2 linked regions of the Rattus norvegicus genome follow. The protein of the gene in region 2 purifies or fractionates together with the protein of the main gene of each other region. This does not show direct contact. Links are inferred from orthologs where the notes say so. Each region holds a gene or a part of one and is shown on either strand. Other genes may lie near its edges.

Region 1 (3,972 bases), on a different chromosome or scaffold from region 2:
GCAAGTCAAAGACCTCACGGGCTTCTCCCACCTCTGGGTTGTCACCATCCTCCGAAATGATGTGAGAGGCCAGAGCGTTGTAGGAGACTTCCTTGGCTTTCCCAGCTTTAAGAAGCTGAATAACCTAAGGAAAGAAACAACAGCACAATCAATAACAACAAAGTACTATACTGCCTTCCTAATTCAAACAAGTCATGATTAACTACAATAGAAACACTTAATAAAAACATACCCTGTCCTCTACAGAGAAGCCTTTTCTTGAATGGAAAAGCCAATAAAATCCATTTGGACAATAAAATGTAGCAACCCTGATTCACAGTCCAAGTTACAGAGATGGGTGGCCAGCTACCCCTGCTAGTGGCCCTCCAGACAGACAGCACACACCAGCACCTGCTGAGCTGTACAGAATACCTGTTCCGGGTATCCAACCCAAAGGCTGACGACTGGTTCCACTACAGATAGTAAGTTCTGGACGCAGAGACCCACCAGGAGAAGCCTAACCTGTAGATGCCTATCAGGCAAAGTATATACACCAAGGGAGGGCCTAGCAGGAAAACTCAGATTCAACCATGGTCAATGTTTTCTTGGGTGCTCTGCATAACAATCCTTCCTTAAATCATGGAAGGATATCACAAAGGAAGATAGCACCACCAGATCTTACAGATGGACAGCAACAGAAGAACACTCGTTAAGACACAACTGTGAGCACTCTGACAACTTTAAGAGGCAGGGCACTAAGAAACGTCAGCAGCAAACAGAACAGACTTACCCACACAGTAACTAGACAGGGTATAGGCACGGCAGAAAAGCCGAGCAGGAAATGCTGGCATCTCCCAGAGGGATTGACTGGAAGTAGAGAGGAAGGGGCATTGCTGGGTTTCAGTGTGGGTATACTACTCTTTGGTCCTGTGTGAGCGGGTGAGAGACTATCAGTCACATGGAGAGAGGACTCTGGCTCTCCAGAGATAACCTATTAGAGGTGGCAGTCAAAGTTCTGAGAGTCAACATGGCAGCCACTAGGATGTCAAATGCTGAGGTCTTGTCAGGAATACATGGAGTAGCGCCAGAGGAGAACGACTGGACTGTGGTATGCGGGCCGGAGTCAAAACAGAGCCAAAAGCAATGCAGTCTAGGATGGTCTGCTAAGCATCACTAAGAACTGGAGCAGCCCGGGAAGTCTGTTCTTGATGCATGGAAAACCAACAGCCAGCCACAAGCCAGCTTCCCTGCACCAAGTATCTTTACCTTCATCCACAGACGTCATCCACTTGCTTCAGCCTCACATTACTCAGAAACACGTACACAGCAAGCTCTCCCCAGCCTCCCCTTCTTGGGTCCCAGTGCTTTCTTTTCATGACAAATTTCCAGAAACAAGTCTCACTGTGCTCAACACCTTCTATCCACATTCACGCTCCAGCTCCCTGGAGTGGCCATCAAACTGTGAAAACTCAGGTCTCACACAGCAAGGACACCCAAACCTTCCCAAACTGGACATTACTAATTCCACCTCACAGGAACCACCTTGTAACTATGCGCAGTGACCATCAGGACACATGCCAAGTATACATATGCCTTTAACGCCTAGAACACACAGTCCACACAAACAACTTCTTGTATTCAATATCCGCTTATTTAAGACTCAACACCTCCAGCACCTCCACCTGTTCTATTTGTAGGACTCAGCATTCAAGTGCACTCCTCTGCAGCACTCCGTTTACCAGGCCCGATGCCCAGTCTGTACTGGGGTGCTCACCACCTGTGAGCTTCCTCAATTTGTATTACAAAACTCAAAGAATAGGTGCCCTGGCTCTAAACCTTTCTGAAATACACACTATTTCAGAATAGAAAGCTTTACAAGGGGGATTCTTTTTAAAGCACTCAGATTTCACATATAATTGGGCAAACAGCTCAGTTCAGTGTGTACTTGGTTTCAAGTGACACTTAGTCCAGGACCCTTCTAAGAGCCCAAATCCTAAAATGAAGTACAAGAAAGGGTAAGAAGAAGAAAGGTGGTGGTGGTAATGGGGTGATCAGTACTAGAAAAAGTCTGCTATAAGCACGCGACGGAAGACCCAACGGACCTCGGTTACTAGGATACAAGTATGAGTCTCTGGAAGGCCATGCTCAGTGACTCTTGGACAATTCCTTCCTTAGGACCCGTTTAGCTTACATTATGAGACACCGAAGGCGACACAACTGCAAGCATAGTTTAGGAAAAGAAATGTTTGGGATACTGTCCTGAAGATACCACAGTCCTGAAGATATCCACTGTCCTGTGGATGGATCCAGATTCACGGTCACACGCACTTATTACTGTGACCGTGTAAGCAGGGTACCTTCCATACCTACCGTACAGTCCACCCTTAGGGAAAAATCAGGGACCGGGAGGGCAGGCCCCTAGGCAAGGGACACGCTCAGCAGGGCCCCGCAAGATGCTCGGCCGGCGAACGCGCTGGGTCGGTGCTCGCGAGACCCTTCCCGCGGCCCTGCGCGGCCCTGCGCGGCCCGGCGTGCCCCGCGGCTCCGGCCTGGGGTCCTGCAGGGCGCGCGCGCGACGAAGCGGGGAGGGGGACGGCCCGGCGGAGGGGCCCCGCGCGGGCGGTACCTGCGGGTCGATGTCTCCCACCGCGTAGTACTTGACCTCGCGGAACAGCTCCTCCGGAACTTCGGGCGCCGGCTCCGACATGATCGCGGCGGCGCGGCGGCGCCCGGCCCCGCGTCACCCGGCCCGCCGCGCCCAGCGTCGCAGCTATGCCAACTGCCCGGCCGCACAGCCCGGCCCGCAGCCGCAGCCGCACTCCGACCCGCGCCCCCGCCCGTCCGAGGCCCGGAGCGCGGGAGCCGCGCGCGCCCTGAGGCACGTACCACCGGACCGGACCGGCAGGGGAGCATGTGGGACTATTCCACCTTGAGCGCCGCACAGCGCTCCTTCCACCATCGCGTCTAGCATCAGAGCTGATTTTCTAAAACAGTTCACACAGCATCTGGCAGCCTTGCCCCCGCCGAGTTTCCGCGACCGAGAAGAGAAGTCACAGAGACACTAAATCCCCCGCACAGCCGCGGTGGACCAGCCAGAGGGCGGGGCCTGGGCGGGACTCCCGTCACCCCGCGCGGCCACCTGGCAGCGCATGCTCGAAGGGGCGGAGCCTCGGTGCGGAAGGCAACCCGCACAATCGAGCGTTCTGAATTCAGCTGTCGCTGCTACGGCTGTTGTGCTGTCCACGGTCCAGCCTAGAGTCAGGCAGACCCTGGCTAATGGTCAGTTTCCTTCATCCGCCCCTTTCACACCTACTGCGGCAGTCGGCGGGGAACTGATCTTCGGTGATGCAGCTTAAGAGCAAAGTAGGAGCCGGCGACTTGGCTTAGCAGGCAGACACCTACCACCAATCTGAGTTCGATCCCTAGAACACACGTGGTGACAAGCATAAACCGGCTCCAGCAAGTTGTTTTCTGACCTTTCCACTCACACACGTACACACTTACACACACACTCTAAATAAATGTAGAATCTTTACGTGTATTGGATTTCCCCCTACATGTATGTATCTGTACCCGGTGAGTATCTGGTGCCCACAGCGGTCAGAAGATGGCTTCAGGATCCTCTGGAACTGAAGTGACACAGCACGTGGGTGTTGGGCACCAAACTTTTGGAGATGCTGCAAGAGAACTAAGTGTTCTGAACTCCTGAGCGCTCCAAGCCTCCGTCAACATAGTTCTTAAAGGTAAACAGCAAAATTCATAAGAAATTGTCTTCACAGATAACTGTAATAAGTATGGATGTATAAAGTTACAGGAATGACAATGACAGCTGAAACTGCCGTGGTGCCCTCGCAGAATGACAAGTCCTGCACTCTTGACACTGCTCTTTAATCAGGCTTTGTGTTTTCTGTGACCTTCATGCAGATTAAGTGTTGATGTTCTTATAATCTCAAACGAACCCAGAGCAGAGCCACTTTGTTTTACAGCCATCAG
Region 2 (4,090 bases):
GTGGTACACACCTTTAATTCCAGTACTCGGGAGGCAGAGGAAGGTGTATCTACAAGTTTGAAGCTAGCCTAGTCTAAAGAGTGAACTCCACTCTCTTGCTCTCCCTCCTTACTCCTCTCTCCCCATTCCCCTCACCCTTCTCTCTCCATGTGCTCATGGCTGGCATCCCTCAACTCTATCTCTGCCTTTCTCGGTCTCTGCTACCCTCTCAACTCCCCTCCCATGCCCTGAATAAACTCTACAATATACTGTTGACTGTTGTGTGGCTGGTCCCTCAGGGGAAGGAATGTCTCCGCATGAGCCTGCAGAGGCACCCCCTCCCCCCACACCATTCCCTCACACCATATCTCTCCTCCACCAAACATATTCCTTCTCTCCTTATTTTTATAAAACACACGCACAAAAAAGGCATACTCTGTGCTGTGTTTTATAAAAAGATAAGAGAGGAAGGAATATTAAAAAAAAAAAAAAAAAAAGCGTGAACTCCAGGACAGTCAGGGCTACACAGAAGAAATCCTGTCTCAAAACAACAAAAAGGTTCTTGGGACTGAGCTGTTCATAGAAGAGTGTTCACCTAACATGCATAAGACCACCTCACCCCCCCACAAAAAAACAGTGACTCTAGGGCTGGAGGGATGGCTCAGTAGTTAAGAGCACTGACTGCTCTTCCAAAGGTCCTGAGTACAAGTCCCAGCAACCACATCTATAATGAGATCTGATGCCCTCTTCTGTGTGTCTGAAGACAGCTACACTGTACTCAAACAAAATAAAAATAAAAATATTCCCAAGAAAATGGGTAAAAAGGAGAACATGACCGCAGCACTGAACCCTACAACAAATAAACTGCTCCAAGCTGGGGATAACTGTACCGAGGCTGCAGCTTCAGGTGCTCTGTGTGATGGATGGTCTACTCTTGAACCTTCTGTGAGCCTAAGACTTAAGCTTCAAGAAGGCTTCCCACTGCAGTATACAGATGTGTACCGGAATGTGAGCTCTGCTTCAAAGATTCCTTGATACAGTTTTTTTTTTTTTTCTATTCTTTCGGAGCTGGGGACCGAACCCAGGGCCTTTTGATACAGTTTTTAAAAGGCTTTCTAACAGAAACAACAGACCAAGTGACAAGAGTAGACCTTCTGTGCAGAAGTTTGGAAACTCAGGCAAATTCTAAAATACACCCAAAGAATTTGAGGAAACACAGGAGTCTTGTCTGTACCTGGTGGCCTCCACCTCGGCTCCCTTTGACCTCACAGGCTGCAAACTGCCTTCTACAATGCTAAGAGCGTACAGAGCTCAAGGACTCTTGCACAGAGTACTATAAAAAGAGCTACAAGAAAGAGTACAGCAAAGTAGACACCGCCCCCATATGAAACCTCCCAGGAGGAGTAGCAGGAAGAACATCAGAGAAACTGCACCAGAAGAAGCTGCAGAGCTGAGGGAAAGCAGTTACTCCCTTCAGCAGTGCAACTGCAACAACTTCCTACAGTTTACAGGCCATCCCGTGACTGGGAAGTGAGTTAGTGCTCCTCCAATGGAGCGCTCCTAAGACATGCAAACATCACTGGCCATCATGATCCCTCAGCCATCAGTGTAAGGAGAAATCACGATGCACAGCCTAGCTTTGAGACTAAACCTGACACCTCACACAGACCCCACGGGAGACTAAGAGGAGACAACACCAAAAGAGACCAAAGCCTCAGTCTTCAATCCTAGGAAGGAACAGTAACACCCACCACACAGGGCACAGGTGTAGCCTGCTCCACCAAGGTCAAATTCTGCTGTAGCTCAAGCCCAGGTGCAAGGATCCAACTAGGGGTAGGTCCCCTGCCTGGGTCCCTCCACAAAGCAAAGCTCTTGTGCCCAGGAAATACCAGCTGCTTGGTGTTTTTAGCTTTTTGGAGACAGGGTCTTGCTATGCACCAGTATTCAAAATCCTGCCTCAATAGCCGCAGTATGGTTGGTGTAACAGGCATAAATCAACTCCCAGGCCTGACCTGAAGCTGCTTAACGCAACTATATGGCCATGAGTTCCCAGAGCCAACATGTTTGTGGATCATACAGGTAGCAAGAGGAGCTGAGAAGATGTTAAGTAATGAGATAGAAAGTCCTACCACATCTCCCTGCTTCAGGGAAATAAAAGGCCAAGGGAGCAGGGCAGATCTCTGGGGTAGGAAGTCTCGAGGAACTAAGCAGTGTCTTTTAGCATATAAAGAGATTCACCTAGCCTCGGGTGAATGGCCTTGCAAAACAAGCACGAGGATACCCAACCCTGCCCATCCCATCCCACCCTTTATAAACTGATTCTTTCAGGAAGCCAAATATTAACATATGAAGACACTGGGTGTGCACCACACTTTGATCCCAGCTCTAATAAGTTCACAGCCCCAAACAACCAACCAAAAAAAAAAAAAAAAAAAAAAAAAAAAGGAAAAAGAAAAGAAAGAACATTAGCATTAGCCAATCTACCTCGCAGCATTCAGGAGGTTCGGGAATTCATAGTTAAATGTGAAGCCAGCACCAACCTGAAACCGTCTCAAAGGAAACCAATTTCCAATTCCACTGGGTAGAGTCCAAGACAGAGAGCACTCAGGTGTTCTGTTTTAAGGTCACCGGAAAGCAGGACTTGAAGAGGACAGCTCTGGGAGGGAGGTGTGTTAAGCAGGATCCTCAGCAGGTGGTTTGGAGCTGGCCTCCACGGCCCACAAAGGAGGCAGTTAACTGGCAACCGCAGCTTTACACTACAGGGAACGTGATCATGGAAGGGCAGCAGCCATCAGTCTCCCTCCAATCAAATGCAGATTCCTTGTTTCCGCCTTAGACACTGAGTACACAAGTATGGGAAGACAGAATGGTCCAGTCACTCAGGTGAGTGCAGTAGGTAACCCAACAAAGAGCTCCAACCCATCCTCTCTGGACTACTGGATACCCCTAGGTCCTAGTACCATTGGCTTCACACCACTGTACTCTCAACTGCCTGGCTGACCCAGACAGTGCTCAAAACCCACTTGACCAGTCAGCCCTCGTCAGGTAGAAACTTGCACTAGGACACGGGTGAAGGTTGTGGTGGCAGCACGAAAGCGCCAAGTGGCCAAGGAAACCTGAGAGATGCTAGCTGGGTGTCCCCACTCCCAGGGACGCCAGCCTGAGGTGTGAGCCACGAGGAGCTCGCAGGGCTACGGGTCTAGGGGCGCAGCAGGGGCCGCAGTGGAAGTAGCGAGCCGTGGCGGCCACAAGGGGCGGCGGGGTCGGGGCGCGGCCACAAATGCGGCGCCGGGCCCGGCCGGAGGCCCACGGAACACGTGCGGCGCTGTGGATCCCGAAGCCCGTGGGCCCTCGTGGTCGCCGCCCCCCTCGCGCCCGCAGGACCGGGTCACTCCCTTACCTGCCGGGGCCGGGGCGGCGGGGCCGGGCGCTCTGGCGTCGCCTCGGCTGGCCCTGCGCGCGAGAGCAGACGATCTGGTGGACCAGTCGGCCGCGGCGCGGGAGGCGGGAGGGATTGCGCGTGCGCGAGGGGGCGGGGCAACGGGCGGCGACGAGGGTCAGAAAAATTAGAGGAGACGGAGCGCCTTAAAGGGCCCACCTATGATTCTTGCTTCCTATTTGACCGCCACTAATTTTCAGTGCCTGCAGACCGGAACTCTCTGCAGTTAAAGATGGGTAAAAATGTGCTTATGTGCCTTTCCTGTTAAATTCCAGGCTATGTCGCCAAGCTAATAGCAGCTTGCCTGTCGTGGCCTGTGCCTGCCCTGGACTCTAGGAAACCCTCTTGGTGCCACTGGTGGACGTCCACGAGGTCCGGAAGTCCGGAGCGCCTGCGGTCTCCCCTGCCTACCGCAGGGCGGGGGCTTCCTGCCACTGCAAACCACAGCTCAAATTGAACATACTTGCCTCTCTTCTAAGCTGGGCCACAAAGAGACTCTGCTGTGCACCCCCACACTCAGAAAAAGATCTTAGGAACTATCGCCGCAGGAAAAGCTCCCCTGCGTGTCCAGGGAAGGCAGGAAAGAAGGGAGCTTGCATGCTAACAAGAGAGGAGCTACCTGACTTAGAAGACAAACAAAACTGTGGACAGGAAAGGCAAGTGTCACTAACA

The links. Proteins that work in one complex are often made in the same cells at the same time.
Region 1: the proteins of Wdr5 (region 2) and Paxip1 purify together in Homo sapiens (affinity purification with mass spectrometry; 7 studies listed by BioGRID and IntAct, counting the BioPlex papers as one, with this or other methods). This does not show direct contact. The link is inferred for Rattus norvegicus from reciprocal best matches to the Homo sapiens genes WDR5 and PAXIP1.

The regions. Positions count from the first base shown.
Region 1 is NC_086022.1:8,257,794-8,261,765, reverse strand, and holds the start of Paxip1 (PAX-interacting protein 1), read right to left. Parts: upstream 2,801-3,972; 5' UTR 2,687-2,800; coding exon 2,606-2,686; intron 2,514-2,605; exon of another isoform or gene 2,350-2,513; intron 125-2,349; coding exon 1-124.
Region 2 is NC_086021.1:31,234,456-31,238,545, reverse strand, and holds the start of Wdr5 (WD repeat-containing protein 5), read right to left. Parts: upstream 2,801-4,090; 5' UTR 2,520-2,800; intron 1-2,519.